Elephas maximus indicus: one gene and its partner. The protein of the gene in region 1 interacts with the protein of each later gene in a pairwise test. Links are inferred from orthologs where the notes say so. Each region holds a gene or a part of one and is shown on either strand. Other genes may lie near its edges.

The links.
Region 2: the proteins of TXN (region 1) and FST interact in binary tests that used the Homo sapiens proteins (3 or more experiments, as listed by UniProt). The link is inferred for Elephas maximus indicus from reciprocal best matches to the Homo sapiens genes TXN and FST.

What each region holds. Positions count from the first base shown.
Region 1 is NC_064827.1:59,705,373-59,721,493, reverse strand, and holds the start of TXN (thioredoxin), read left to right. Parts: upstream 1-8,356; 5' UTR 8,357-8,473; coding exon 8,474-8,497; intron 8,498-12,938; coding exon 12,939-13,043; intron 13,044-13,496; coding exon 13,497-13,556; intron 13,557-16,121. UniProt on the Homo sapiens protein: Participates in various redox reactions through the reversible oxidation of its active center dithiol to a disulfide and catalyzes dithiol-disulfide exchange reactions.
Region 2 is NC_064820.1:56,587,408-56,603,900, forward strand, and holds FST (follistatin), read left to right. Parts: upstream 1-9,484; 5' UTR 9,485-9,938; coding exon 9,939-10,023; intron 10,024-11,915; coding exon 11,916-12,107; intron 12,108-12,546; coding exon 12,547-12,765; intron 12,766-13,136; coding exon 13,137-13,361; intron 13,362-14,062; coding exon 14,063-14,293; intron 14,294-15,020; coding exon 15,021-15,103; 3' UTR 15,104-16,210; downstream 16,211-16,493. UniProt on the Homo sapiens protein: Multifunctional regulatory protein whose primary function is to antagonize members of the transforming growth factor beta (TGF-beta) superfamily including activin, myostatin, GDF11 or bone morphogenetic proteins (BMPs).

The DNA of each region.
Region 1 (16,121 bases):
TGATGTTCTTGATGTCATTCCACATCTCGTCTGGTCTTCAGTTATTAGTGTTTAATCGGTCAAATCTATTCTTGAGATGGTCTCTAAGTTCAGGTGGTCATACACTGGCTTTCATGGACCTGTTCTAATTTTCTTCAGCTTCAACTTGAGCTTGCGTATAAGCAATTGTTGGTTGCACAGTCGGTCCCTGGCCTTGTTCTGATGATATTGAGTTTTTCCATCATCTCTTTCAACCAATGTAGTTATTTTGATTCCTGTGTATTCCATCTAGTGAGGTCCATGTGTATAATCACCATTTGTGTTGGTGAAAAAAAGTATTTGCAATGAAGAAGTCGTTGGTCTTACAAAGTTGTATCATGCGATTTCCATATCATTTCTATCACCAAGGCCATATTTTCCAACTGCAGATCCTTCTTCTTTGTTTCCAACTTTTGCATTCCAATCACCAGTAATTATCAATGCATCTTGATTGCATGTTTGATCAATTCTAGACTGCAAAAGTTGGTAAAAATCTTCAATTTCATCTTTGGCATTAGTGGTTGGTTCATAAATTTGAATAATAATCGTATTCGCTGGTCTTCCTTGTAGGCTTATGGATATTATCCTGTCATTGACAGCACTGTACTTCAGGAGAGATCTTGAAATGTTCTTTTTGATGATAAACGGAACACCATTCGTCTTCAATTTGTCATTCCTGGCATAGTAGACCATATGATTATCCAATTCAAAATGGGCAATACCGGTCCATTTTGGCTAATGCCTAGGATATTGATGTTTATGTGTTCCATTTCATTTTTGACAACTCCCAATTTTCCTAGATTCATACTTTGTCATTCCACATTCTGATTATTAATGCATGTTTGCAGCTGTTTCTTCTCATTTTGTGTTGTGCCACATCAGTAAATGAAGATCTCGAAAGCTTGACTCCATCCACATCATTAAGGTTGACTCTACTTTGAGGAGGCAGCTCTTCCTCAGTTGTATTTTAAGAACCTTCCAACCTGAGGAGCTCATCTTTCGATGCTATTATCAGACCATGTTCTGCTGCTATTCATAAGGTTTTCACTGGCCAATTTTAGCAGTGGAACTTTAGGAATGACTCCAGCCATTTTCCCTCTTGCATTCCCTAGAGATCTGAAGTCCTGTGAGGCTGTCTGGTTGACCTGAAGTCACATATCAGCCCTGGATCTAGGTACAGGAAACAGCTGTTGGACCCCAATGGCTCGTCCCAACAAGATTACAGGGACTGGGGGAGAGAGAGAGCTATTCAAAGGAAAGGTAGGCTGTTGTTACCAAAATAAGTGGGAAGGATTGCTAGGCAGGCAAAACAGCAGCTGTCCACCACATAAGGAAAGAAGAAGGAGGGAGGGTAATGTTTTCTAAAATATTGCTTATGTTTGTACTGTAGGCGTTTCCAGGAATTTAAATATGTCTCTCTTCAGAGGGTACTCCCTGAGAGGTCTTCTCATCCTCAGGGCATTCAGGCAAAAAGAGAAGGAATCTGGCAGTAATGCTAAACTGCTTCTATCCCCGGCCAAATGAAGCAGATCTCAAGTTGTCTGTGTTACATTCATTTAAATACTAATCACTGCCTTTCAATTTCATAACAGTGATAATTTCTAGAGTAATTAAAGCACATTACACTAACTTTTCAGAATTCAACAAATTACAAGCTTACCAAAGTGCCTCATCTGTTGATGAATCCTCTAAATAAATATATTTCAGTTGGGTTGTTACTGGCTGTAAGTAGCAGAACACCCAGCTTGAAGTTGCTTAAGCCAAATGAAAATGTATTATGCACATAATTAGATGTCCAGATGGCGGGCAGGCTCCAGGGAACTTAATCCAGTGGTTCCTGCTCCACTCTCTGCAACTACCATGCTTTCTGCCCTCAAGTTCTCTGTATGTTCTACGACTTTCCAGCTTACACCCACATGAAACAGTATCTGGAGAAAGATGAGATCGTTTCTTTATGTAGGTCTCAGGAATAAGGTAACTTTCCCTAGAATCTGCTAGCAAACTTTCCTCTCATCTCATTGGCCCAGAGTGGGTCACATATCTGATCCTGAAACAAACCTGTGGCCAAGGGAATGCCATCTGTTAACTGCTAACCGGCTGATATCTGGGTTCTTGAACCAGTTGCTGGCAAAGAGAATGGTATCACCATGCCTGCCCCCCCCCGGCCCCCCACCCCCACCCCACAGGCCACTAGACAAATGGGCAGAGGAGGAATGTATGTGAAAGGGAAAATGGGGTAGGGTTTGTCTTCCTCTTCCCCCTCCCCCCAAACACCTGAATCTACTGCTGCACCATTTCCACGTTTGAGGAATTTCCCGCTTTAAGAGATTTAGTGGAAAGACAAAGGCCATTTCACGAGAACAATGCTGAGGACCCTGGAGCCTTCTGGCCTCCCTCACAGCTGGAACAGGGGCATACAGTAGAGGCTCCATCAATCACACATACCTCTCTCAGTCAGGTTCTCCTTAGGATCCATGATGCAGAGTCAGGAACCACCTGGAAAACCCATTTGGTGGCAGATTTCCAGGGACAACTCTGGCAGTAGCAATGGTACACTAGTGGTGCCCAGCGTAGGGCTGCTGGACTCAGCAAACGAAATTTTTCTCTAGCAATGTAGAGCTGTATGGAGATCTGACAGAGTATAATAGAGCCTTCAGTATGGATTACACCTCAACATAAAAAAAACAAAAAAAAAACCCTCACAACTGGACCAATAAGTAACATGATAAACATGATAAATGGAGAAAAGATTGAAGTTGTCAAGGATTTCGTTTTACTTGGATCCACAATCAATACCCATGGAAGCAGCAGTGAAGAAATCAAATGACATACTGCATTGGGCAAATCTGCTACAAAAGACCTCTTTAAAGTGTTAAAAAGTAAATATGTCACTTTGAGGAATAAGGAATGCCTGACCCACATTATGCTATTTTCAATCACCTCATATGCATGCGAAAGCTGGACAATATTTGGGAGACTGAAGAAGAATTGATGCCTTTGAAATATGGTGTTGGCAAAGAATACTGAATACATCATGGACTGCCAGAAGAATGAACAAATCTGTCTGGGAAGATGTACAGCCAGAATGCTCCTTAGAAGTGAAGATGGCAAGACTTCGTCTCACTTACTTTGGGCATGTTATCAGGAGGAACCAGTCCCTGAGCAAAGACACCATGGTTGGCAAAGTAGAGGGTCAGTAAAAAAAGAAGATGACCCTCGACAAGATGGATTGACACAGTGGCTACAACAATGGGCTCAAACATAACAGCAATCATGGGATGGGTGCGGGACTGGGCAGTGTTTACTTCTGTCGTACACAGGTTCACTATGAGTCGGAACCAACTCAAGGGCACCTAACAAGTATAGAGGGAGAGTTTCAAGAAAGTTGAGTGTATTTCCAAGAAGTGATTAAGTTGTACGTTGTATCATTTACAACTAGGCAAGAACTACAGGTCCGGCCCTCAAAACCTCACTATCAAGTGATATGTTCAATGGTAGCCACATACACATTTATTATCAGGTAGGCCAGCAAACAGTCGTACAAGCCATACCTGTGGAACTGAAGTCCCAATCCTTTAAGGCACTCTGACAAAAGTGCTTTGCATAAAAGGTTCATTTGAGGCAGATGTTAGGACCAACTGAACTTCTTAACTCAGCATTGTTCCATGGAAACACAATTTTAAATTTTCTAGTAGCCATTAAAAGAAGTACAAAAAAAAAAGATGAAATTAATTTAAATATTTTATTTATCTAATAGATCCAAAATATTATCATTTCAACATACAATATAAAAAGTCAATGAAATATTTTATATTCTTTTTTCTTACTAAGTCTTGAAAATCTGATGTGAATTTTACATTGACAGCACATCAAAATTTGGATGGTAAAATTTCATTGCGAATACATGATCTGTATTCAAGTGCATAAAATTTAGTTGAAAACTTAGATTCACATACCAAGGTTGTTCCAAACATACTTAAAATAATTTACAATAACTGAATCAAGTACAGTATACATCTCAAGTTCTCAACAGACACATGAGGCTAATGGTTACCACACACACACACACACACATGTTGCCATCGAGTCGATTCCGACTCATAGTGACCCTACAGGACAGAGTAGAACTGCCCCATAGAGTTTCCAAGGAGTGTCTGGTGAATTCGAACTGCCATCCTTTTGGTTAGCAGCCTTAGCCCTTAACCACTGCGCCACCAGGGTTTCCACCCTAGAGCCCACACCCTGAATTAAAACTTCTAGCCTCCTAAACTGTGAGAAAATAGATTTGTTTGTTAAAACCACCCACTCGGGTATTTGTGTTGTAGCAGCACTAGATAACTAAGATAGGACTCAAACAACACAGCAGACCTAGTTCTCCAGTTCTGCTTGGTGCCTCAGACTGAGCTGACCTAGACGCCTGAAGCAAGCTATCAGACCGCACTAATCTTCTGCTCCTCTTGATGACATGGAAGTGTTGTTTTTGCCTCCCTAGCATCCATTTCTACTTTTTCTGGTAGCTCCCTGGATTTTCCCTATTCTTAGTCCAAGGGGTTCAAGCTGACGCCTTCTTGCCCACCCCCAGACTCAAGTCAATGATGTCAGCCTCTGGGACAGTTACAAGAACAAAGGAGAAGGATTCTCTTTCTGAAGGGATGCTAAACTGGTGGGACCCTAAGCCCGGGACTGCTGGTGGCCAGGGCCAGTCTTCCACAAGGAGAAGAAAGCCTGTTCAAGAATGTGCCCTTGTGACATCTTTGAGTTCCTGGAGTTAGTGATTCTCTTTGTGGTTTAAATCAGTTTGAACTGTAATTTATCCTTGCAACTGACAGTTCTGAGTAATGCACGCAGCCAAACCCTAAATGAATGTGTTTATTTCACTGTCTTAGTTACCTAGTGTTGCTACAAAGGAAATACCAAAAGCGGGTGGCTTTAACAAACAAATTTATTGTCTCACGGTTTAGGAGGCTAGAAGTCCGAATTCAGGACTGCTTAACTCTAGGAGTTGGCTTGGAGGGAAGGTCTTTGTCTCTTTTCAGCTTCTTTTCCTTGGCTCCGTGGGAATCTACATGTGGCATGGCATCTATTTTCCCTCATCTCTGCTTGTTTTTTTGCTTCTTACAGACTAGAAAACCCCATGGGTTAGTTCTACTCTGTCACATGGGATCACTCTCTGCTCTTTTATACCTCAAAAGAGACTTAAGACACATCCTACACTAATACTGTTCATTAACGTAACAAAGAAAACACATTCCCAAATGGGATTATGACCACTGGTATAGGGGTTAGGATTTACAACACATATTTTTGGAGGGACACAATTCAATCCATAATGATCACCATGTCTCTCCTCCTCTCACCGCTACAGCCCCTCTGCACAAACAGATCCCCCGTACCTCACTCTCATCACAGAATGCTACCTCCTTGCCAGACCTGAAATCCTAAAGACTCAGTTTCTCATATGCAAGGCAGAGAACCTTGCTGCTTAGGACAAGGTCCAACCCACTTTTCTTCCTCCCTCTGGGGGTGCGGGGTGGGGACCTTTTCCTTTGAGACTCACTGTTCATTACAAATTTCCTGATTACTTAATTCTCTTACAACTCGGATACATGGTTCACAGTCTCCCCTTCCATCCTAGCTCTGCTTTCATTCTGAAGGGCTTTTACCATTCCATTCAATAGCCTGTAAGCACAGTTGATACAGCATTTACTTTATGCCAGTACAGTTCCTAAGCACTTCACATATATTTTAACTCACTCAACATTTATCATAGCATGATGTTGTTAGGTGCCATCGAGTCAGTTTCAACTCACAGCAACCCCATGTGACAGAGCAGAACTGACCCATGAGGTTTTCTAGGCTGTAATCTTTACAATTAGCAGGTTTTTCTCCCAGGGAGCCACTGGGTGGGTTTGAACTGCCAGTCTTTCAGTTAGCAGCCAAGTGCTTAACCACTGTGCCACCAGGGCTCTTTAATCATAGCATAAGGTATTATTATGCCCATTTTACAGGTAAGAAAACTGATAGGCTACTTAGACTTGCCTAGAGTTACCCAGCTACTGAGTGGTAACAGTGGGGACAAGAACCAGGTAGTCTAATTGCAGAGTCTGGGCTCATATCATACACTTTTAGCCTCCTAGCTCCCTGTTCTCTATAGTTGTAACATCCCTCACATTCACTCTATATTGGTTTTCCAGAGGCAGGAGGGAGTCAGTACCCCCTACAACTGAGTCAATGGACATTTGGAAAGTCCTTGGAAAGGAGATGTCAGCTGAATATGGCCTGGGCAGCCCTTTGTGATCTGTCAGCTCGCCTTCCTGTAGCGCAATTATCTGTTGTCGTCTCCCATGGCAATGCATCAGAAGCAGGGATGGAGGTTAGGCTTAAGGCAGTGCAGCAGAAAAGCTGCTCCCGGCACCCTATAAGGCCCCTTCTTTGTCCCAGTAGTCCTTAATCTTTGGGGGAAGGTTGCTGTATTCAGGAGAGACCATTTTCCCTCTGTCTAGAGCCGTCCTTAAAATGTGTATCTCGTTTACGTCCTTACTTATGGCTTGCAACTTCTCAGTCCTTTAGCAACTGCATAACAGGCTCAAAACCTCAGGTTTCCTTCCTTCCTCTCCGTTTGAAAGGTCAGGGAGAAAGAAGTTACAGGCTCTGGGGAAAAGCCAAGGAGCAATTTCATCACCGCAGCCAATCATACCTAGATCTAGCTTTATCCAGACCTGCTCTGCTCTGAAAATGCAAGCTCGGGTTCCCCACCGCAACCTCTGGCTCTCATTTCTCTCTCCAGTTCAACAGTTCCTCCATGTTCAACTCCCGACAGGCCCTTCTAACCGTACCTAAAAACGTACTTACCTTTCACAATCCACTCTCTTGTGCCAGACCCAACCTGTGATGTGCATCCCTGAATCAACACAAACGCCTCACTTTTCCATTCCAGGCTTCTCACCACGGATAGAAAAAACACAAATACGTGCAGTGGTGCTTTACAAATATAAGGATGGAAACCCTGGTGGTGTAGTGGTTAGGTGCTATGGCTGCTAACCAAGAGGTCCGCAGTTCGAATCCGCCAGGCGCTCCTTGGAAACTCTATGGAGCAGTTCTACTCTGTCCAATAGGGTCACTATAAGTTGGAATCGACTGGACAGCAGTGGTTTGGTTTTGGTTTGGTTTGGTTAAGCTCATCCAGGCCCACCATGACACCAAGCAGGCCGAATCAGTACTCACGATAGCTATGTTGTTGTTAGTTGCAGTCAACTCCAACTCACAGGACCCTATGTGTGCAGAGTAAAACTGCTCCATAGAGCTTTCAAGGCTGTGACCCTTCAGAAGCAGACTGCCAGGCCTGTCTTCCTAGGCCCCTCTGGGTGGGTTCTAGCCACCAACCTTTAGGCTAGTAATCCAGCATTTAACCGTTTGGGCCACCCATGAACTCCACACTAGCTATAACTAGAACTATTGGGGGGCTTACTATGTACCAAAACAGTGTCCTAATCACTTTAAAGCACCTTATTCAGCACGCAAAACACCACCACCGTGAGATAGAGACTATTAATTCCCATTTCACAGAAGGGAAAACTGAGGTGCTGGGAGGTCAGAGCGTAGCCAGGGTCACACATGGTAACGAAGTTGCACACAATTTAACTTACATCCCGCACGCAGCTGTGCGATAGCCCAGTCAGTCCCCCCACCCCCCACCCCGGCTGTCTCTACCGCTCTAAGCTGCAGTGTCACCCTCGAGCGGCGAGTTCATCAGTGAAAGGGAAAGAACAAGGAGGGAAAAGAAGAGGACCGTCAAAGCAGATTTCACAAAGAACAGGGTGAACCCACGGCGATACTTCCTGGTCATCGTTACTCAGCACTTTGGTTTCTCTGGGCCGCAGGGCAGAGGCGAGGGTGTGGCGGGCCTTTTCGAGGAATCCAGCCACGCCAGAGCGGTCCCGGGACTGTCCTTCTCCAGCCTCTCTGCTTTCGATTAAGGTCTGGCTGACCCCTTCCCGGGTAACCCGGGAGGGGCCCTGTAGCTCTGGAGGTGGCCGTCCGCTTCCCCGCCTCCCACCGCGTGACGCACTGCATGAGCCCTTTAGGTCACTCGACGCATCCATGGGACACTAACGGTTTCGGGACGGGGGTTCCGGGGTCTCCGTGGGGCGCCGACAGCCCCACCCCCCGCCAAGGGCCCCGCCCCGACCTCCCGGCTCTGCGCCCCCCCCCAGAGGCGGAGCCTCGCTGGCGGAATCTTGGCAGGCGCGGCGCGGGCGCGGGCTCGAGCTGCCTGGACGGGCGCGCCCCCACCTCACGCACGCTGCGCGCGCCCGCCCGCCCACAGCGGCGCCCCGCCCCGTTGCTGCGCTATAAAGACAAGGCGGGCTGCGCGCTTAGGGGTCAAGCTCTGTCCGGCGCTTCGGGTATATTTCTTGTGCTTCAAAGGGCCGCTCATCAGTCTCCAACCGCCAAAATGGTGAAACAGATCGAGGGCAAGGTACGAACCTCCAGGGAAGTCCAGGGCGCGCTGCAGCTTCCGAGCTGGGTTAGGCGGTGGGCCAGAGATGGCGAGGCAGACCCTTTGCATTCCTGGGGGAAGGGGAGGCGGCAGTTTGGCCTTCGGCTGAGAAGCCCAGGCTTGGGCTCGCCGGAGGCGGCAGAGTATGCCCGGGATTGGGGGGCGGGGGGGAGGAGGAGAGGGACGAGGCCCCCCTGGAGGGCGAGATCGGGGTGCTTAGCGCTGACGCTTCCTGTGCGCCTGGGTGATGCACGCGCGCGGGGAGCGCCCGGGGTACCCACACTGCGCCTCCCGCACTCTCCCATCTGGCGACCCCGATTGGAAGAAAGTGAGGGCATGGAGGGCGTCTGCCCTTAGACCTCATCTGTATTCGAATTCGGGCTTGGGCAAGGAGATGCTTGAAGTCGCTGGCCGCCACTCCCACCCTGTGAGCGACTTGATCCACCCGCCTGGGATGGGGTGGATCCCCCGGTAGCCTCCATCACCGCCGGGCCCCAAAGATGACGTTTGCTGTGCCCGCACGAAGGGGGCACATCCAGACTGGAGACACCTCGGGAGTGCCGGCCGGGCCCCGAGGCCAGGGGAGGAGCGATGGGCCCCAGGTGGTTGCGAGGAAGTCAGGGCCCGGCTGCGCCCACCGGACTCCTCCTCTTGCGGCGCAGGGCGTGTTTCCGGCGGGGCTGGCTTTGGAATGACTCAGTCCCCGAGGCCTGGGCCTGGGGGCCTCCCTTGCCCGCCTGTGATTTTCCCACAGTCCGTGAGTTTCACTGAAACCAAGATCCCCCATGGGAGCTACCGTGTTGGGTTAGTGTGCTCGTCGGCCTTCGTGTACCCAGATCCTGGTTTTGTCCTTTTAAAAACACCCAAAGCAAAAATTGTTCTCGTATTCGAGTTACCTAACATAGTGTCTGGCACACTGTAGCCATTCAAGAAGGCTTGTTAAATGCAGAGTCAGAAAAGTAAATGGAAGAAAACTGATGCTGCTTGAACGGTCAAAGACCCCTCGCACGCGTCCATCCTCAGCCCGGGAAAGCGGGAAACGGGATCCTTGCCCACGAGTGCCTTCAGCTTTTAGATGGTGGTGTGGGCTTCGGAAACAAGTTTCTTTATAATGGTCACTCATTTTTTATTACTTTATAACCAGAAAACATACGCAATCATTGTAGAAAATTTGGGAGGGGAGAGAACGCCTTTGAGATTATTCGTACTGTTTTGATTTGGGATTTTTTTTTTTTTCCCGCTTTCAGTTTAGCCCAAACACTTTCCTTGTAATTAAAAGCTCGTTGTAATAGTTTTAATGTCTGAAAACATTTGTGGATATTTAGGAAGTTTCAAACTTTCAATTAATTTTTTTAAATAAAGTTTGTACAAAGAGCAGGCTGTTTCCTTAGATTAGAACTACAAGCGCAGTAAACTTGTAAATGGTACACATATTACATGAGAACGCTCCTTTCACATCACCCTTATCGCCGACTTTTCTCACCTTAATTTTGGGCAAATTAATGGTAAAGAAAAATTGTCTTATTCTAATTTCATTATCTTTATTAGCAACTTTGAACTTCTTTAATTTTATGAGCTTTAATAATTAAATGGAAACCCTGGTGGTGTAGTGGTTAAGTTCTACGGCTGCTAACCAAAGGGTCAGCAGTTCAAATCCGCCAGGTGCTGCTTGGAAACTCTATGGGGCAGTTCTGCTCTGTCCTGGAGGGTCGCTGTGAGTTGGACTCGACTCGACGGCACTAGGTTTGGTTTTTTGTTTTAATTTAAATGATAACCTCTCCTGTATTGAAAAGAGAGATCCTTAATAGTGAGTTTTGTTCAATATCTGATTTATGACAGATATTAATTATATGCCTTGGTGGGAGGCTTCTGTTGTTGAGGGTCTGGCAACCTCATCCTAGAACCCAACAGGAGAGAACCTATTAAACAAGCCAGAAAACCTCTGAGTACACATTGCAAACAGAAAATTGATTTTGATTCCTGGAGCAAACCTTTCAATCCTTCCTTCTCTATTGTAGTTATGGCAATCAGTCCCTAGTCCCCTTATCAGTGAGGTGTACAAGGATGACAGGGAGTTGATCACTTGCAAAAGCACCCCAGCCATAAGACAGTCAGTTGACAGAATTACGGCCCACAGCCACTAATGAAAAATTAAACTGTAATTTGGTTATTTGTAAATATTAAATACTCCTTAGATTTTCATCCTGATGGGCTGAACGTTGTGCCTTTGGCCTTCCAGGATAACTTTGTTTCGTGGCACTGTGTTGGTGATTCAGGGCACAAGGACCTGTTTCAGACAAGGATGGGAGAAGGGACTGTAAAAGGTGATGCTGAAGAAATCAGCACAACGCAGTTTCATTTTTGTTTTTTAATTGTACTTTAGATGAGGGTTTACAGAGCAAATTAGTTTCTCATTAAACAGCTAATACACATATTGTTTGTGATGTTGGTTGCCAACCTCAAGACATGTCAACACTCTTCCCTTCCCAACCTTCAGTTCCTCATTTCTATTCGTCCAGCCTTCCTGCCTTCTCGCCCTTGGCCCTGAGCTGGTGTGCCCATTTAGTTCCTTTTTGTTTTATGGGGCTGTCTAATCTTTGGATGGGAAACCCTGGTAGCGTAGAGGTTTAGAGCTACATTTGCTAATCTAAAGGTCAGCAGTTCTAATCTACCAGGCGCTCCTTGGAAACCCTATGGGGCAGTTCTAATCTGTCCTGTAGAGTTGCTGTGAGTCGAAATCAACTCAATGACAACAAATTTGGTTTCAGTTTTTTTTTTTTTTTTTTTATCTTTGGGTGTAAGGTGAACCTCAGGTGTGACTTAAGTCCTGAGTCAAAAGAGTGTCCCGGGGCCCTACTCTTGGAGCTTCTCTAGTCTCTGTCAGACCAGTAAGTCTGGTCTTGTTAGTTTGCAGTTTTTTCTACATTTTTCTCTAGCTCTGTTCAGGGCCCTCTACTGTGATCCTTGTCAGAGCAGTCAGTGCTGGTAGTTGGGCACCATGTAGTTGTACTTAGTCTGGTAGAGGCTGTGGTAGTTGTGGTCCATTAGTCCTTTGGACTAATCTTTCCCTTATGTCTTTGGTTTTCTTTATTCTCCCTTGCTCCAGATGGGGTGAGACCAGTGAAGTACCTTAGATGACCATTCACAAGCTTTTAAGGCCCCAGATGCTACCCACCAAAGTAGGACGTAGAACATTTTCTTTATGTTATGCCAAGTGAGCTATATGCTCCCCGAGACCATGGTCCCCAGTCCTCGGCCCAGTAATTCAGTCCCTCAAGGAGTTTGGATGTGTCTATGAAGCTTCCATGACCTTGCCTTGGTCAAGTTGTGCTGACTTCCCCAGTACTGACAACATAGTATTTTTAAAAATAAAAAATTATAGCTACCATCTGTTGAACTCCTATCATCTACATAAATTGATTCGTTTTTAATTAGATTATTTGGCTAGCATTTTTCCCTTCAAAGAAAACCAAGCCATGGATATAGATGTTTATGTTCTGATTTATCTTCATTTGCCTGTTTCTTGGTCAGCAGTGACTAATTGTGCTTAAAATGAGAAGGTTAGCTTCCCAGAGTTACAGTATCCAGACCATTAGTAAATAATTCACAGAGGTTGGATTTCTTAATATCTTCCGCTAGTAGAGTTTATTTCACATGCATTCTTTATGTAAAATAAATGTAAGGAATGCTCCACAAAGATCTAACATTATTGTTCATATAATCAACAATGAGGGCAGAATTTTGAGATAAAGAGCGAAATCAAAGATTGATAAGCAGGATGATCTCGACTCTTGAAACACCATTTTAAAAAGAAAGTACAAGGAGATAACGCTTAATGTCAGGTGATATCTGATTATCTGAGTTTGGGAATTGAGGGAGGTTATTTTCCTTGACTTTTTTTTTTTTTTTTTTAACTTCTCACATTTTCCACCATAGATAATATTAGTTTAATCAGACAAGTGTTTGCTTCTGAGGTAACGTTTTCTTCTCTTTTTTTTTTTTTTTTGGTGTTTCAGTTGTAAAACCCTGTGCCATTGTGACTTCTTTGATTGAAGTGACCATGACCCCTTTCATCAGTCAATAAGCATTTAGTGGATTCTACCAACCAGACTTGATGTAGAAACATTTTTAGTCCGAATTTCTATTTTTATTTTCCTTTGACTTGCTTAGCTTGAATATAGATTAGCCAGTTAGTTGTATTTTATAAAATATATCCATGAAAACACGTACATTGCCGCACATCTGGCTTCATTCATCAAATGACAGTACCAATGGTGTTTAGGATTCCTTCAAACCTAGTTCTTTGTTTTTTTACTTTTACTGAAAAATTAAGCGTGAAAGCAGGACCTCTCAGTTGTGCATCCTGTCCTATCACGTCTCCAAATGCAACTATTTAGCATATGCCTTTTTCCCTTCTAAGGAGGATTTCCAGGCAGCCTTGAACAGTGCTGGAGATAAACTTGTAGTAGTTGACTTCTCAGCCACGTGGTGTGGGCCTTGCAAAATGATCAAGCCTTTCTTTCATGTGAGTATTAAACAGCTTTTCCTTTGTAAACGATTTGTTTGCGGGGGGGCAGTTGGCGGTCACAAAGTTAGCAAAGTAAAGCCTTTTTTCTCTTCTGCTAGATCTTTGGTCTACAGGTAATAGTGTAGCAATTTAGGTTTGATACATATAGATCATTTAAGACAGCTTTCAGAAGTTAGTTTGGTTTGTCTTAAATGATTTTGCTTTTATTAAAGTTGAAACTGGGCCCTATTTGAAATGTAGGCCTCAAAAGTTGATGTGCCAAATTATTTTACGGCAAGAGGAATTTTATTCAGAGAAAATGTATGTCTTTTAATACCTACCTGATTTCTAGTGTAAATTTTTGAGGTTTTAGTTCTTCTCGACTTTAAGTTTCCAGTGAGGAAGCTTGAGTCTGTTGGCTGCCATTACCCAGTTTAAATCTCTTCGGCTTTCTCATTTGAAATTTTCCAGTCCCTCTCCGAGAAATATGGCAACGTGGTGTTCCTTGAAGTCGATGTGGATGACTGTCAGGTACGTGGTTGGAATTTAGAATACTGCTGAGGTCTCACGTTGGCTTTTTTCTCTGAAATCTACAGTACTTGTTTTCAGAAGTTTGTCAAGTACTACTAAAACTTTAACCCTAGTAAAAAGCCCTATTTTGGAAGAACAGGTAACTGTGCCAGCTGTGAGCTTAATCCTACATATCAGGAGCTATGTACCTCACACCCTAAAATAAGCATAATGATGGTTGAGGCTTCTGTACCTTATCAGTCACCCACCTGCCTAAAACCCTACATTCTATCTGTAACATTCTGAGGTATTCAGTCAGTAGGCGCTGAGTTTGATTATTATTAAATCCATAGATTCGAAGATGTCACCAAAAAATTGGGAAGATGCCTGTAAGTTTTAAGGTCCTTTCTGAACTTCTAATGATACAGGAAAGGGGGTTCTCAGACCTATTCTCGTGATATCAGTCAATTAGAAAACCCAAATGTTTTAAAGAGCAAACACCAAGGCTCCTCATATAGTTGAGAGAATAATTTGGGGAGAAATTCCAGAGTTGAGGACTTATATACCACTTGATTCATGTCAGGCACTGTTCTATGTATTTTTCAAGTATCGCTTATGTAATTCTCAGTGCTGTTATCATTCCCATTTTTCAGATACAAAAAAAAAAAAAACCCAAACCCATTGCTGTCAAGTCAGTTCCGACTCACAGCAACCCTGTAGGTTGAACTACCCTATACGTAGAACTGCCCCATAGAGTTTCCAAGGAGCACCTGGTGGATTCAAACTGCCAGCCTTTTGGTTAGCAGCTGTAGCTCTTAACCACTACGCCACCAGGGTGTAGTGATGCTACAGGACATAGTAAAACTGCCCCATAGGGTTTCCATTGCTGTAATCTTTATAGAAGCAGACTGCCACATCTTTCTCCCTCTGAGCCACTGGTGGATTTGAACCAGCATCCTTTCATCATTTCAGTTAGCAGTGGGGTGCTTAACCGCTGGGCCTCAGTAAACAGAGAATGCCGGGAGTTACAGTCAGTAACAGCAGTGCCAGGATTTAAAATGAGATAGTCTGGCTTCTAAGAGCTTGTTCTTAGCCACCACACTTGGAGGATGCTGTCTTCTGTGGGTGTAGATCAGGGTCTTAGCACATGATCCCACCTCTCACAGCCCACTGAACTCTGAGAGCTTGTTACAAGGTACATGGCCTTGGAGTTCTTTACACGTGTGCAAGCCATTATGCAGGTTTGCATTTTTGCCTAGCCCCAGTGGGCAGGAGGAGTTAGCTGCTCAGTTATGGTGTGATTGCAGTAGCAAAGGCCCTGGACCTGGATTCTGTGACTTTCTCCTTTAGGCTAATCCCTTGTCTTCCCTGAGCCTTGCTTGGTTCTCTGTGTATAACCAGATCTTAATACCTGCCCCATCCACCTCCTAAAAGTTGCTTATTCATGAAGCAAACATGGAATGCTTAATAAAGATACTAAAGGGTCAATAGGAACAGGCACGTGGCAGCACTTTATAGATCTACAAGAACCTCTGTTACTTGAGCTTTGTTTATTTTCCCCTTGCTCCAGACTCATTTTTACAAGGACTTGCCAACCCGAGATTGCTTGTTCCCAGCCCATGTACTGGTTTCCCACTTCTGCGTTTGCTTCGGCTCTGTGCTCTACCTGGCACATCCTTTCCCTCTCTACTTATACCTGGCTAACTCCTACTCAGAAGCATCACGTGTCCTCTAGGAACCCTTCTCAGCTACCCCTTTTACACCCCAGTCGAGGTTACTTTCCCTCCTTGTGTACCCATGATGTCTTTTGCCTCACTTCTCCCACTGCATTTATGGTAGGTGGAGCGGGTCCTGCAGCTAGACTGCTTGTGTTCTTTCCAGCCTCTGGCACTTATTAACTGTCCAGTTTAAGTTATTTATTTTCTCTGGGCCTCAGTATGATGGTCCGTAAAATGGTGATGTTAATCTGATATCAAAAGGTATCAAATGAGATGGTACCTATAAGTTGCTCAGAATAATGCCTGGCACATGGTATTTACTCAGTACCTCTTAACTACTGTTCTACTGATCACTTGGTGTTTGTTCCCCACCACTAGTCTCTAAGATTCTTGGGGTCAGGGACCCTCTCTTATTCACCTTTGTTTCCCCTTCACCTAGCACACCTGCCTGGCTTGTAGCAGGTGTGGGATGAATGAATGTTGTATGGTTATTAGTAAATGTATCTTTCTAGCTGTGCCCCAGTTTTGTTTTGTTTTGTTTTTTTTTAAAAGGGCAGAATTGCACTTGTTTGTGAACGAAGTCCTTGCTCTGTTTTAACCAAACTTAAGTCTTATTTTTCATATGGTCACCTTAGCTAGTTTAAAGTTGGATCTGGAAAGGACTAGAAAAACTGCTAACTGGCATGAAACCATATTAGACAACAATTTTAATTTTCATCTGAAAGTAATAACTAGCATGTTCTAGATGCTGGGGTAAGCCCTTTGCATGCATTATTAGCTCATTTAATCCTCCCAGTAACTATGAGAAGAGGTTGTTAACATCCCCACTACATAGATTCGGGGCCAAGCCTGTGTGCTTGATCACCGT
Region 2 (16,493 bases), on another chromosome or scaffold:
CAAGTATGACTTTATAATTGTCTTTATTCAGAAATTATGTATGGCTTAAGGAGGTGTTTATAGATGCCAGGTTGACAAGGGGTGGACTGTGATGGTTAAGATTGCGTGTCAGCTTGGAGGGACATGATTCTCAGTGGTTTGACGGTCTTCTGATATTGTGATCACTTTTATGCAAAGATTTGATATAATGTGATCACCCCCATGATGGGATCTACTGATTGGTGAGTAGCCAATCAGTTGAAAGGGAGTTTCTTGGGCATGTGACCTGTATCAAATATAAGTGGACAGTCTGGAAAGGCTCATGGGCTTTTCCTCACTCTGGCTCTGCAGCTGGCTCTTGTTTGTCTGACCTCCAGTTTTTGGAACCTAAGCTAGCAGCTTACCTGTGGTCTTGCCTACTGATCTTGGGATTCATCGATCTTCGCATAGCAATAGGCCTGCTCTCTGACCTGCTGATCTTGGGTTCACCTCCTCTGTGGCTACCTGAATCAGGAGAAGCCTCCAGCCTGACCCACTGACTTGGAAATTCTAGTCTCTATAACCATGTGAGCCATTTCCTTGATATAAATCTCTCTGTATATATACTTACACTTTACTGGTTTTGCTTCTCCAGAGAACCCAGCCTAAGACATAGCCTATCTCAGGAAATGATAGCACCACGCATCCAATAAATCATGCCAGAAACCCAACAGTCATCCTTGTCTCTTCTTTTTCCCTCATCCCCCACATTCAGTCAATCAATAGATCCTATGGGTTCTACACCTTAATCATTTCTTGAATCTATCCTTCTCTTCAAGTACCATCCCCTTATACAGTCCTGCTACTGGAATGGAATCCCAAAAGGTAGCTCTTTCACCAGTGCTAGTCCCTTCCAATATGTCTTCACAGTCCCGGAAGAGAGAGCATTTCTAAGGGAAAAGCAGCTCATGCCATCCCCTACGTATAATATTTCCATGGCTTCCCTCTGCAAAACTAATAAACCCAAAGTTTTACGAGAGCTTACATAATTTGGCCCATCAACTTATCCTATCTCCTCATTTTCTACTCTTCTAACTCTGTGCTTTGGGCATGCCACAACTTCATTTTGTTCTTTTGGTTCCTCAAATGGGGCATCCTATCTCTTGCCTCCTAGCTTCACAAATACTCTTCCACTATCTCTCCCAAGCACCACCGTTTCCTGGGTACCCCTTTCTCATTTTTAAAGTCTCATCTAAATGTCACTTCCTCAGAAAGACCTTCCCTGACCCTCTTCATCACAATATATTTTACTTACTTGTTTAATATCTGTCTGTTCTGCTTTCTAAAATCTCCAAGAAAGTTGTGACTAGGCTCGTCTGGTTTGTTTCTCTATCCACAGCATAGAATCTGGAGCACATAATAGATATTTAAGAAATATTTGTTGAAATTTTGTTGACAACTAAACCTCAGAAAGACTAAGGCTGTTTGCATTTGAATATTTTGTGTGCCTCAGTTGCAGATTTTATGAATAGCAGCTGAAAAACATTATCTTTAAAAGTACGTTATCTAGAATACAGTAGTAATTACGAAGCTGTTTCTTTTGCTTCTTACTCCTTGGGAATCCTAAATTTCAATCTCTTTCTGAATCCTGCCTCAGCCTTGCCCTACATTTTGGAGGGATCTAGATATGGTGATAATATTATCTATTTGGCAAGGTAGGTATGAGGAATAAAGTTGGTATATTTTAAATGCCTGGCATGGAATAGTAACTTGATCAGTGGTAGCTGTTATTAAAGGGGGTAGAAATATTGATGACTCAGTGGTAGAATTTTCACCTCCCATGTGGGAGACCCAGATTCGATTCCCAGCCAATATACCTCATGCTTAGCCACTACCTATCTGTTGGTGGAGGCTTGAGTGTTGCTCTAATGTTGAACAGGTTTCAGCTGAGTTTCTAGACTAAGACAGGCTAAGAAGAAAGGCCTGGCAATCTAAAATCAGCCAAAGAAAACATTATAGATCACAACGGTCTGACCCACAATCAGTCATGGGGACAGCAAAGAACTGGGCAGCATTTAGTTCCATTGTGCTTGAGGTCACCATGAGTTAGAGGCCAACTCATCAGCAGTTAACACCATCAATTATTAAAGAAAAAAAAAAGTAGATAAATGCATATCTGGGTGTATGTGTTATGTATGTGTGTGTGTATTTTGAACTCTCTCAAGACAATTTCTGTAATGGTGACATTGGTTAATTTTGTAAGACACTCTAGTATATGGAGTTATGCCAGGGAGTGGCAAAACCAAAGGACACTCTGATTGAGGTCTGAAGGAATCTCGAAAGGCAAATAGACTGATTGGGATGTACTGGTAGAATAATCAGCCCATCTAGCAACTGGCTCACTCAAAACTAAGGGTCTTAATCTGAAGTCCATTGAACCCTACAAGACTTGTGTATGGACATAAAAGTGTCTATAATCTCCTTAAAAAACAACGTAGAATATTGTGTATGTGTGTATACATGTTTGTGTCTGTGCACTATTCTGAGGAAATGGTTCATAGCTTTCAACAGCTTTTCAGAAGATATGTGAACAAGAAAAAATTTTTTTAGGAAATCTGGTGCTCTGGCAAAAATTGTAACATTGACTGTGTGATGGTATGTCATCTGCCTGGCCAAAGCAATATTTTCTGCTAAGGCAAAGATTAGAAGTCTTGGGATCAAAATGATCTCAACCAAGTGGTTCTTCTACACTACATTTCCATCTGCCCACCATGTGAGCTATTAACACATACTTTCTGTTGATTATGTTCATATCCTTATTTTCAAAGAAACTGCACAGAAACCAGTTCAAAAGAATCATTATCTAATGTATTAGAAAACCAAATAAATGAACCTCCTATATATACTAACAATTCTATTTTGTTAAAGAGTGGCTGTTTATGGGAGATTAGCACACATCAACCAAGACTGCCTGTAAGTCATTCATCTACCAGTTTTCATAATATACATTTATATATTTCTATTCTAGTCCAAAAAATAGCAAGGCTCGCCATGTGTTGAAATAATTTATTTCAACACTTAATGCATCATCTGTCCCGTATTTCCACATGTTGTGTCATCACAATTTGACCTCAACCCATTGTTAAATATTTAATAGTACTGTTAGATAAACAATACAAAGTATAGTTTACTTTTGAATGTGTCTTTTACATAAAAAAAAAATAAGCCAATACATGCTGCAAAAGGTACAAGTTTAGATTTTAGTACTGACCATTCTAATGAGTAGAAAATGAGATGTTAAGGTAGAGGAAACTGTAAGGAGGACAAATTTATCAGGGAGAGCTCTAACAACTGAAAAGATGCCATAATTCTCCAATATAGAATAAATTCAGAAAGTAAAAGCCACTCAAAGTTTGGCATAATAGAAACTGCCACTTGAAACCTAAGCACAGTAATGGATTATTTTGAGTAGAAATAATCCATTATTTCACATGAAAAAGATGAAATAATATTTGACAAAACACTATCCAATAGAGGATTTTTTTTTTTTTTAACACTCACTGAACATAAATCTCATGGTGACAAAGATTATTCATTTAAAAGAGTGACTATGGTCTAAAAGAAACACCAAAAGAAGGCATCCAAGAGATTTTGAAGAATTAGCACACCACTCCCGGAGAGTATGCTCAATGCAATGTGTTTCACTGGCTGTGGAAATCAAATTTAGGGAGTATGAAGACAAGTATTAGCCTGCACCAGGATATCTTTAGAACCCACTGAATTTCTTTGAGATACAGAGCTAAAACTGCATAGATTATCCTATATCAACAACATGTTTTTCAATGACAGCCAAAATACAAAATGGATCTATAAAACCTAGTTGAGATAAATTTTTTAAAAACCCAAATAAATGGAAAGATATACCATGTTCATGGTTTGGAAGACTCAATGTTGTTAAAATGTCAATTCTCCCCCAAATCGATCTATTCCAATCATAATCCCATCAAGCTTTTTTGTAAAAATTGACCAGCTGATTCTAAAAGTTATATGAAAATGCAACTAGAATATCCAAAGAAATCTTGAAAAAGAAGAACAAAGTTGGAGGAATTATACTACCTGACTTCATTACTTACTATAAATCTAATCAAGATACTGTGGTACTGGCATAAAAAATTTTTTTTTTTTTTTTTTTTTTAGGATTAACAAATAGATCAGTGGAACAGAATAGAGAGCCCAGAAACAGATCCACACTTATGAGGCCATTTGACTTTTGACAAAGGTGCAAAAGCAAAATGCAAAATGGACCTGGAATAAAGTCACCATTGAGGAAAGATGACTAAAGGAAAGTATGTAGGACACACAGTAGGCTGTCTAAAATCATGCCTGACTGCCTGGTGAGCCTTGGACCTATCATAAACATAATACTTCAACTCCTGGACCAATTGGGCATCAGAGATGAGACAGGATTCATATCATATAAAAAAAAAAATAAGGGTGGCAAACATGATGGATGATTAAATAGCAATTGTATCAACTGCTGATCTCAATACTGAATAAGCAAACACTTATAAAAGAACAAATTATAAAATGTGTAAATCACTGCTACTCCATGGAAAGCTAGAATGAGGTAGTGGACACCAAAATGTACAAAAGGAACTGCAACATACCAACTATCCGGCAGCCAAACGATAATCTAGGAAGAGTGGTACTTATCTTGATCTTGAGCTTTGAACAAAAAGTAGGGAAAGAGAACAGCAAATACTGATTTACCGTCCTCACATTTTCCATGCAATGGGAAGTGTAAATGGAACCAGGGTCAAAAGTGCTAAAGGTCACCGTTATACTGTTACTTTTCAGTCGTACCTAAATAAATGAATCATTTGTATTGTCAGACTGACCTAAGCTACAGTAAAATTCTTAGAAGTTTCTATTAACCCAACAGAATAGTCCTATCCAGAGGCATAATCTGAATCATTTACTAAGGTTTATTAATGACTTAATTTATGATAAATTTGAATATGCTGATATTGCTAGTTTAGGTGACTATATAGCACATATAGATGACTTCTGAAAATCCAAAATATTTTTAACATTAGAGGGGAAAATAGGACCATAAAATTTTTATACAGAAACAGGTAGTTTCAAAAAGAAAGGCAGCTCTGTGATTGACTCAACATAATACGAAAGCAATATTGAAAAGAGAAAAGTTCAGTTAATCAGTTGTTTTCTCGGCACTGTCTAGAAAACATATATTGTGATAATTTTTTTAAAAAGCTTAATCATCTGATGGTTTGGACACCTTGGATAAACACTGCTTTTATGTACTCACATTTCTTAACTTTTTAGTTCTGCAACAATTCAGCCGATGCAAAACTCCTGTCTCCACCCCCCACCTCAAAGCCTCATTCTAGCACTATGAAGTTGCACAATTCCAAAGACCATGGTGGCGCATTGAGTAACTGTTTTTGTACCTACAAGAACCAAACCTGATTTTAAAAGAATTTCAGCCTATTGTTCATGCTTAAATTCTGTTCCTTAATCAGGATCAGTTGTTTGCATTTGCAGACTTAACATTAATTTTGCAAAACACCTAACTTTGAAAAATTTAGGCATGTGATTTTCAGGCACAAAATAAAAGCTGCTCAGTGCATCACTTTCAAATCTTCCACAATAACCTCACCATAGCCCCTCCATATTCTCTTTTTAGGAAATAAGATTTAACCCGGCCAATTCTGGGCTCAAACAGCAATTTCGTATGATTTCAAGTAGCCATCTTGGGAGCGACATTGAATCATTTGCTAAAGTCTAATATTTTAAATTTATAGACTTCAGAAGGAAGATACCGTTTGAAGCTGAGAAAAAACAATCAGAGAACAGCAGTCTTTTTGTGTGCTGCCCAGAAATTCACTTACAAAGTGGTCCTATTGTGTTTCTCATAATTTACATTCACTTTTTTGGCAATGCAGAAAGGAAAAAAAGAAGTCAAACTTGGAGGCATACGACAAAAATGAAAGAGGGCATTTTTATTTTAAAAATGTCCCCTTGACATTTTAGCTCTCTGCTAACCCAATATTTAGCATTTACAGGAGCTAACACAGTAAAAGAAACAGCAGCTGTTTTTCTGTGATGTCACTGAACAGGTGTGATATCATTTCATACCACTGCAATCAGATGGATCTCTTGTTGATGCCCACAGCACACCCATATGAAACCAGTATTGACCTGGGTCTCATTTCCTCAGATATGGCCAGAAAATAACCTGGGACAACAAGGCTCCTGAGGACTGATCTGTGCAGATTCGGAGCTGACATTCTCCCAAACAGATCAATACCATCCAAGGTGCAGCTGAAAAACAGGATGAGCTTGTATCCTTAAACAAACACCAAGCTGCTTATTCACAAGGGCAAAAGCAATATAGCACTTCTGTTTTCCACAGTATATTTGTCAGTGACCTCAACCCTGACCTGCAGAACCACCCTCTCAGGGGTAAGAATCCTATGCTGGGTCTGCCTCTGGTGCTGGAGGACTCCTGTGCGTGATGACAAGTTCTACAATGAGAGTACTATATCTGCCTGGGCCTTGCCAAGACAACTGCATGACGCCAAACAACTAATCGATGCAGTCGGTTTAGTCAAATGTCTGGTCAAAGAGTATTTGGCACTATAGGGACCAAAAAAAAAAAAAAAGGAGAAACTAATTTTTTTTTTTTTTTTTTTTTTACCCAGTTACACTGGAATTGTGTGAACATATCTTGGATTAAATTGATACAGAAAAATTTTATGACACCAGTTGCTTCTATATACATAAACTAAAATAACCATCTGGATAAACCAAATACTATTACTCAAAGACCCAGATAAATATTTCTTATTAACCTCCAAAATTGCCTCTATTATATTTCATTTAGCCACATAAGCCCCACCCCTGTATCTGTACACTCCTTTTTATATGGGGAGCCCTGGTGGGTATGTGCATATGTAAATGAACAATAGTTAAGTATAATAAGAACATGCAAGTTATATCACCTTTTTCATCATCATAGCGTTATAAAATATAGAAAAAGTATGGTCCTGCCACTGTGGGTTAAAATATTACCCTATATCCTCTGGCAAGGTGGCTTCATGTACAACTGGGCATGACTAAAATTTACACATTTTCTATGGTCCTAGGGTGAAAAGGCTAAGAAAAAGACCCTAGCTTTCAGAGGCTACAGACAGATTCAGGGACAATAAATGTACCTAAACAGAGGGCAAATATAAAATCATGTATGTTTGGGTATTAAAATTTGTGTAATGCCCATTGGTAGCACTACGATAAGATACAACTACGTCTAAGATCTTTTATGTATTTATGATGTTTATTTTTTCAATCCAAGATATACGGTTTGATAACCCTAGCTAAAACAGAAGCTGTGTCTCTGGCTGCTATTAAAAAGAAATTTTTTTTAAAGAAAAAAGTCAAGCAACAAAAATTGTTGGCTTTTGCCTTTCCTTCAACTAAATTTCCCCTTAGGTGAGGACAGGGCGGGGTGGAGAGGCGGGAGTCTTAAAGGGGAAAACACAAACTTTCCCTCAGCACTTTTATAAGAACTATATCCATCTCCCTGAATAAAGAACAAATAAATTCGGCGCTGGAACTCTGTCATCGAGTGGCGGCTCCTGCAAAGGGTAGTTTGTTATTAATTGTTAATGTCGTCTGCCATTAGAGGGCACTAAACCACCCTACATTAATGCGGCATTGGAGGGAAGAGAGAAAGGGAGACAGGAAAAGAAGGGAGGGAGTAGGGGGATGGGGAGAGAGTAAGAGCAGAGTCTGGGAAGAGGGAGGGAAAGAGAAGAGGGGTGGGAGGACGGGAGGAAAAGAGGGAGAAAAGGAGAGAGAGGGGGAACGAATATGGAAAGATTAAGAAGGATGTGGAGCCCCCAGAGCCGTCTGAAGTGAGCAAAAACCCAACCTCCCCGGGGCCGCCGGCGCCCCTCCCCTCCCGTCCTCACGACGGTAATTATAAAGCGAAAAGCAGCGGCGAGGTCACCCGTTTTTACCAGCCTGCTGCACTCAATGCGCGCGGTGCAGGTGCGGCGGCCGCGGGGTTTTGTGATTCATGCCCACTTTCAAAGGGGGGTTTGGGCCCGTCTGAGAGGCACCCAAACAACTGTCTTCTAATATTAGCACGGCTGTATTTCGGGATCTATTATAGTCTGTCCAGACAGATCCCATTGTAATGGGATCTTTTATTAAAAGATTAGCACTATCTCCTGCAGTTGGTGGAAAAAAATCTGTTATCACTGAGTTATTTGCAGTTGTGGAGGGGATGGGGGGGTTGGTGGAAGACGGTGGGGGGGGCGGGAGTGCGAGAGGAAGACTGAGAAGGGGCTGGCAGAGGAGTTGAGGGGGGCGAAGAGGGGCGGATTTCAAATCCGTAGAACGAATCCCAGTGACCTGCAAATATCCAAGAATTTTGTCTGCATACTTCCCTGTCTGTTGTCCTTCGAGCTTCAGAAAAGAATAGAAATTAAAAAGGCAGCTTTGGAATAAACAATATAGCATTTTCCGTGAAGTAATCGTTTTATATAAAAGGAAATATCGCCTCCTCAGTCTCATTCAGCGATGCCAAAAATGTTATAAATGAGAGACCCGCCAACTTTCAGCGAAGAATGCCAGGCACTGTGCTTAATAAACTGAGGCTACAGAAGTTCATTATCGATGTTGCAATCTTTTTTATTCCACAAACCGAGAGAGGGAGAGGGAGAGAGAAAGAGGGAGGGAAAGGGAGAGAACCAGCGGGGAGACGAGGAGGCGACTGGGAGAGACAGAGGAACGAGACACACAAGACAGAAACCGGGGAGCCTCGGAGCTGGGGGGGGGGGCAGACCGCCTACGTCGGCGCCCCGGCTCCGGGCTCCGACTCCAGACGCAGCCAAGTGAAAGGGAAGAAAAGAAAGGGAGAAGGCGCGACTGTGACGGGGGGGAGGGAGGAGGCTGGGCCCGAGGTGTTAAACATTTTTGTTTGCTTCTGACTCGTCCAGAAGGGCCGCGTCTCGGATGCGCTTAGCCAGTGTGGAAGGTGCCGGGGCCAGGGTTATAGGCAGCAGCTCTGGGCTGGGGGCGGCAGCAAAGTAAGGGTCGCACAGACCCAGACACAAAACCTCGCGGGTTCCGCGCCCAGGCTGCGGGAGCCGAAAACCGCAGAGTTCCCCAGCGGAGCCACCAGGCCCGCGCGGTCCGCCCCAAGCCGAAACAGGCTATTTCGGCAGCCCGGGGCTCTTTGGGCGTTTGCAAAGTCTGTCTGGAGCGGAGGAGCGGCGGTGCGGAGACAACTCCCGGGCTCCCCTGCTCTGCCCGCCGCCGCCGCCTCCAGCGCCCCCACCGCGCCCTCCCTCGCACACACACACACACACACACACACTCTCTCGCGCGCGCGCACACGCACACACACACACACTAGCCACCCCGGGCGCGCCGGCGCTGCCTGCGAGCGGCGGCGTGCAGGACTTGAAGTGGGTGTTCTTCCCCACTCCCCACCCCCGAAGCGTTGCCTTCCCCCTCCCTCCCGCTCCTACGCAAATAAGAACTCGGCGATTCCCTTCCTGCCGCTTTGATTTCGGGCACCTCCAGCAGATAATTGGGAAGGGTTTCCAGAAGGTGGGAAATGTCACCTGATTCACACTGAACTTTTAAAAGCTCCCCACCCCCAAGGAGCCGCGCACACCCTTGCTTGCGGCCGCCCTCCCACAGCCCCACACACTGGGAGACCGCCCACCGCAAACCGCGGAGACCCCCGTCTAGATTTAAAGCGCGGCTGCGCCCGGCTTCTGACGTCCATTGAATCGCGCGGGCGGCCGGCGGCGAGCGCGGGGCTGCGCCGGGATCGCTGCGCTCTCCGCCGCTCGCCTCTGCGACGCGCGCCGCTTGCCGGAGCCACCAGTCGCTGCGCCCGCTGCCCGCGCCGCTGCGCTCCTTGCCCAGCGCCTGCCCCTAGGATGGTCCGGCCGAGGCACCAGCCCGGCGGGCTTTGCCTCCTGCTGCTGCTGCTCTGCCAGTTCATGGAGGACCGCAGCGCCCAGGGTAAGCGAGGGGGATGCTTTGGGGAGGCTCGACTGCGGACACGGGTTTGGACTTTACTGTCGTCTCCACTTGGTCTCTTGTTGCATCGCTGCTCCTGGAAGATGTTGGACCAACTTAAGGACTCCGGGATGGAGAGGAGTGGGAAATCAGAAGGCAGTGACACTTTAGGACGGGAAGAGTTTGGAGCTCGGTTATCCTTAAAAAGGAAAGGGAGTGAGCTGGAGGCTCTCTCAGTAGTTAGGGTTAGATACTTCAAGTTCTGCCATAATGAGTTGGGATGTTATCTCCCCTTTTTGGCTCTGAAGGAGGAGACAAGCATCAGTAGCCTGGAGATTTCAGTCGACCCCTTTGCAACCTTAACATTTCTCCCTCCCGCATCTTTTGGATACTTTAAAAAATGACCGGAGGGGGGGCAGATACTGAATTTTCTTCGGTGGCTGGGCGACGTGGTTTCAGAAACTTTGCCCAAACTTGGAAATGTGGGTGCTGAAATTTTTAGAGGGAAGTAGCTTTCTGCCTAGTGGATGCTTCTTCCAGCCCCCTCCCCCACACACACCCCGCAAAAAAAAAAAAAAAAAGTCTCAAATTATTAACCCAGAGTGTTTTTAAGAGTAGTTTTACAGTTTTTTTTCCCCCTTTGCCTCATCCCTATAACTTAACTTTCTGTAGAACAGTGAGGAGCCCACAAATGACTCCAGTTCTGAGATGGATTAAGAGCACATTTCTAAAGTGTGTCTTTTCAAATTCGATTTTTTATTTCAATTAGTCTTTGGGCAGAATTTTTAAAATTAGAAATCGTAATAGCAGCTTGAGGTCCAGTTGTTGGAAAAGTCACATTGGTGATTCATGAGAGCTTTTCCTGACCAAAATCCGAACATTAACCAGGGAGGGGGCGGGAGAAGGGAGAGAAATTGCTTGCAAAGATTTCTTTGTAGGTATGAGCTAGGTATATGTAGCTGTGAAATTGTGGGAAGCGTCCCTCCTTTTCTTGTCTCCTCTACTTTCTAGGAGACAGAACGTGTAACTTTACCTGCTTTCGCGTTAACGTTTTAAGTATGTTGTGAACCGGCCGCCTGGGCGCCTGGGCACTGCCTCTCGCCATCTGCACCGCTCCACGTTGGTTGCCCGCCTTGCGCAGCGCGCTGCTTTGGTGCGGGGGACGTGGGCGTCCAGGGACTCAGCCCTCCGAGATTTCGAAAGATTGTGGTGGCCGCGGTGTCCTCCCGGGCTGGCCGATTGCAAAACGGGCCGTCGGGCAGACTGCGCCTGAAGGCCTCTGGGGCAGCTCCCAACCGGGCCCTGTCGGTCGCTTTTTTGCTTTCATTTTTCACAAGTGCCTTTTGCTTAATCCGCTGTAGCGTGTGTCTGTCTCTCTCTCTCCCTCAAGTTCTCCTACTTTCTTAACCCCTGTCACAAATAATACCCATACCGCCTACGTGAAACCAACATGTAAAAACATCCGTCGCATCCTGTTTTTGTCAGATTCTTTAATCTGCTCTTCGAGTTGCTGCAGGTTATGAAATGGGACAAATAAAAGTAAACAGTCTAGTAAAAGTCAATGCAAGCTGCACGTGTTGTGTCTGGGTCACTGGTAACTGACATTGATATGGCTGGGGCGCTCTGCCTTCTCACCCTCGCCCTCCCTCCCCCTCGCCCACCTCCCAACTCTCCCTTCTGAGCGTTCTCCACCCTCTCTTTCCCCACCACCACCCCCTTCGATTTATTTTCTGCTTTTCAATTTATTTTCTGCTTTTCTCCATAGGCTGTCTCATCCCCTCCTCCACGCTCACCCCTCCCCATTCCGCTCTGTCTCCTTCCCTCCTGCGCTTGCCGCCTCCCTCCCCCTACCCCGCCGAGCACTCACCCACCTCCCCACCCCGGTCTCTTTGCAGCTGGGAATTGCTGGCTCCGCCAGGCTAAGAACGGTCGCTGCCAAGTCCTGTACAAGACTGAACTGAGCAAGGAGGAGTGCTGCAGCACCGGGCGCTTGAGCACCTCGTGGACCGAGGAGGATGTGAATGACAACACACTCTTCAAGTGGATGATTTTCAATGGGGGCGCCCCCAACTGCATCCCCTGTAAAGGTAGGGCTCTTCCTCCCCAACTTGAGGCCTTCAGTAGATGGTGTGTTGCCCTCAGCTTCTTCACTGCCTCGCTGGGAGTTGGGACTGGGAAAGCTTTGTTTATGGGTTCCCGCTTCCTTCCCCCAGCCCTGGTAAGCCATTGGGGTAGAATCTGGCCTGTTAGAGGCTGCAGGCAGGCAAAATAGGGTCGATGGAGGTTCCTGGACTTCTGTGCCAAGTGTGGTGGTAAAGGCAACCAACCCTGCTCTTTGAGAGATGTGAGTATCCAGACTCAGCCCACTGTTTCCACCTCTTCAGTCCGGTCCCTGGCTCCTAGGAGAGAGCCTGGGCTCCCCTTGCAAACTCATGTCTGCAGATTGCGCAAGACACCCAAGCTCTCCTGGCTGACCTGCAGACTGCCTGGCCCTGGTTCTAATCCATCCCTCTTTCCAACTCGTAGAAACGTGTGAAAACGTGGACTGTGGACCCGGGAAAAAATGCCGAATGAACAAGAAGAACAAACCTCGCTGCGTCTGTGCTCCTGATTGTTCCAACATCACCTGGAAGGGCCCCGTCTGTGGGCTGGACGGCAAAACCTACCGCAATGAATGTGCGCTCCTCAAGGCCAGATGTAAAGAGCAGCCAGAACTGGAAGTCCAGTACCAGGGCAAATGTAAAAGTAAGTCCTCAGCTGCTTGAGCAACTTCCCTCCCCACCCCCACCCCCCAACTTTCTACCTGAAGTAGACCCCCTGGAGTCCCTGGGAGGGATGGGATAGTCCATAGTAAGAGTCTAATCATAGTCATCATCATAATAATACAAAAAAAACCTCAGTGATACCAAATAAAGGAAACTTTTTCAAATGTCTAAAGACTCTATAAGAACTGTGAAGGGCCAAACCTAGACTAGTATGTTTGGAAGCCACAGGGCTCCCAAAGTAACTTTTCAAAGCTGAATTGTTTCAGTTTCATGATTTCCTTATAATATCAAATGTTCACTCCTTAAGGACCAGACGATGTCTATGAATGTGTATTTCTGTCTTTGTTTCAGAGACCTGTCGGGATGTTTACTGTCCAGGCAGCTCCACATGTGTGGTAGACCAGACCAATAATGCCTACTGTGTGACATGTAATCGGATTTGCCCAGAGCCCACCTCCTCTGAACAGTATCTCTGTGGGAATGACGGAGTGACCTACTCCAGCGCCTGTCACCTGAGAAAGGCTACCTGCCTGCTGGGCAGATCCATTGGATTAGCCTACGAGGGAAAGTGTATCAGTAGGTATTCTGGATTGAGGAAGGAAAAGAGAAAAAAGAGAGAAGCCAGACAACTAGTTCTTGTGTTAGAGCTGTGGGGCTAGCCAACCAATAAAAGCCAAATTTGTCTCCTCAAACATGTAATTTTAGAGGGATAAGTTACTCTCCAGTTTGACTAAACTGTCTTGACCATACCATTCCTCATGGAAATCATTGTCTTCCAGAAGCTTTGGCATATATATATATTCAAATGCCAGCAAGAAGCAGAAAGCCATTTTTCATCTTAAAAAAAAAACTTAGAATTCACTCAGTTTTACAAGTTTTTTTCTTTAAGGGCTTGCTAGACTTGCTAGAAGAGAGAAATAATTACTTCACAGTTCCTAGAATCTGTTATCAGATTCCAATGATTGATGAAATTCTTTCTTTTTAAAATCCCACTTGTGAGAAATAATCGGATACATATTTAACTCAAAGATATTACGAAATCCTGATCCAAAAATTACTGTTTCCATGATCTAATATAGTTTGTAAGAAACTGCAGTTTTGTGGTGTGTGTGTCTCTGAATTTGAGTTTCAGCTTCATTATCAAGCATTTTTGCCTAATGTCTCCTTTACCACCATTTGTGAGGAATAAGATATATGTATTGAGAGAAGACTAGAGAAAGGTAGAAAAGGAATGAAGGGGAAATCAGTTTACTCATCACAGATGTATTATATCCTAGAAGCAAAGTCCTGTGAAGATATCCAGTGCACTGGTGGAAAAAAATGTTTATGGGATTTCAAGGTTGGCAGAGGCCGGTGTTCCCTCTGTGATGAGCTGTGCCCTGAGAGTAAGTCTGACGAGCCTGTCTGTGCCAGTGACAATGCCACTTATGCCAGCGAGTGTGCCATGAAGGAAGCTGCCTGCTCCTCAGGTGTGCTGCTGGAAGTAAAGCACTCCGGATCTTGCAACTGTAAGTGCGATTTTTAACCTTGCTGCAATTTAAAGCTTTCCCAGGCAAGCCCTTGGGAATGGAGACTTAAAAAGCACGCAGACCTCCCACGTAAGCCCATTTCTGTTTCAGTTAGGTAGCTGCTCAATTTCACCAGCAATTCAGTGATCCACAGAAAAATTCCCTGGAATGTTTCCTGGCTTTTAGGACTAGCTGAGTGATCAGCAACGGGATTGCCGCTGAAACCTATTTCCAGTCATTTGCCCTAATTCTTTTGCTTTAGTACTGTGCTTTGCTGTTTGCTTGATTAACACTTGAATCTAAACTAACTGCTTCAAAAATTTGGTTTTCCTTTTCCGCCTAAGGCAGCTGTATATTATCACACACGGGCTGCTGCTGTTTGCAGTTGCCTCTACTAACTCTGAATTAAGGACCCAAAGCAGTTATACCTAGAACACAAGAGCGCTTTTTATCTGATTTCAGGAATCTTCCCGTAAAACCTGAGCCATTGATTCTTCAGAACTTTCTGCAGTTTTTGACTTCATAAATTGTTTTAAAAAAAAAAAATTTTTTTTAACTTATTACATAACAGCAGATGCCAAAAAATAAAGCATCTCACTGCAAGTCACATAAAAATGCAACGCTGTAATATGGCTGTATCAGAGGGCTTTGAAAACATACACTGAGCTGCTTCTGCGCTGTTGTTGTCCATATTTAAACAACAGCTCCCCTGTATTCCCCCATCTAGCCATTTCGGAAGATACCGAGGAAGAGGAGGAAGATGAAGACCAGGACTACAGCTTCCCTATATCTTCCATTCTAGAGTGGTAAACCCTCTACCAGTGTTCAGTGTTGATATAGCCTTTGGGCAAAAAACAAACAAACAAAAACTAAGAAAAAAATATATTGTCCATACTGTACATAAGTGTATGCTTATTTATTTGGGGGGAAATCTATACATAAAGGACCTTGGTCCTAAAGCTCTCTCCCAGGCCACCTTGTTACTCATTGGACACGGAGAGACAGTCATTGTGAGGTCTACTGGATGAGGCCTATAGTTGAGACTTGTAGACATTTATTTATACTGTGTCATGTTTTATAATTTATACATAAAATGTCTGGTTGACTGTACACCTTGTTTTTGAAGAAATTTATTCGTGAAAGGAAGAGCAGTTATTTATTGTGAGGTCTCTTGCTTGTAAAGTAAAAGCTTTTTTTTTTTTCCTTGTAAACCATTTAAATCCATTCCTTACTATTCACTCACTCATCTGTCTCCCCTTATTTCACTGTTTTAGACTTTTCCACTTTAACAAACTTGCATGTCAGTTTCTGTCATGTTTATTTATTGGATTCTCTGCTGCCTGTTCTGTACATACATGGTTACATGATCCCTCGGGTTTTGTTTACAAGGAATCTTGACTGACCAAAAGGCATTATAACTGACTCAAATACAAGGTACAGTAGATGCGTCTTTGGGAAAACTCCTAGTTCAGTTCTCATGTTATGATGAAGATATTTGTGAGAGAGAAGGGGTGATGGCAATGTTAGAATTCTAATAATGTACCTTTAAGATGTTACAGATCCAAAGAAATGGAGTGATATGGGGTGTCTTGAGACTGAAGAAAGGAAACGCTACACATTCAACCTTTTGCTAGGTGTGTTTCCTTTAAGCTAGCTGCTGTACCTTTTAAATTAGTTCTTTTTCAGTGTGTCACTAAAAGTTATAAAAAATATCAAAGCTTTATCAGTTCAAGTTTCTTGCTTTTCATAATACTTTTTTCTGATGCAATTTTATATTTTCAAACATGGCAAGTTAAATATAAATTCATTTAAATATATAGTTTTGTACTTTTCTACCATGTAAATGTGCAATGTATATAAAAGTTATAATGTGTATTTGTAAATAAATGATGAGTGAAAAAATAAAAAAAATTTTAAAAAGCCAATGGTCTCAATTCCTGGTGATGCAAAAAAAACAGCTGTTCAGGCTTTAGAGCAAAAACATACATGATATCTTTGCTGAGAAATACAGTTATCATTGAAATTAAGCAGCCAGGACAGTAGAAGTTCCAAATTGAGGTTAATTACAAATCAGCTCAAAGATAAAGGGACCTAAGGTCCAGAAGCACCTTTTAGGAGTGATGGCATACTTGTCATTAACTATGGAAGGAAACAGACTGAACGTGGGTTCCACCCTGCAAACATACCAAGACTAAAAACA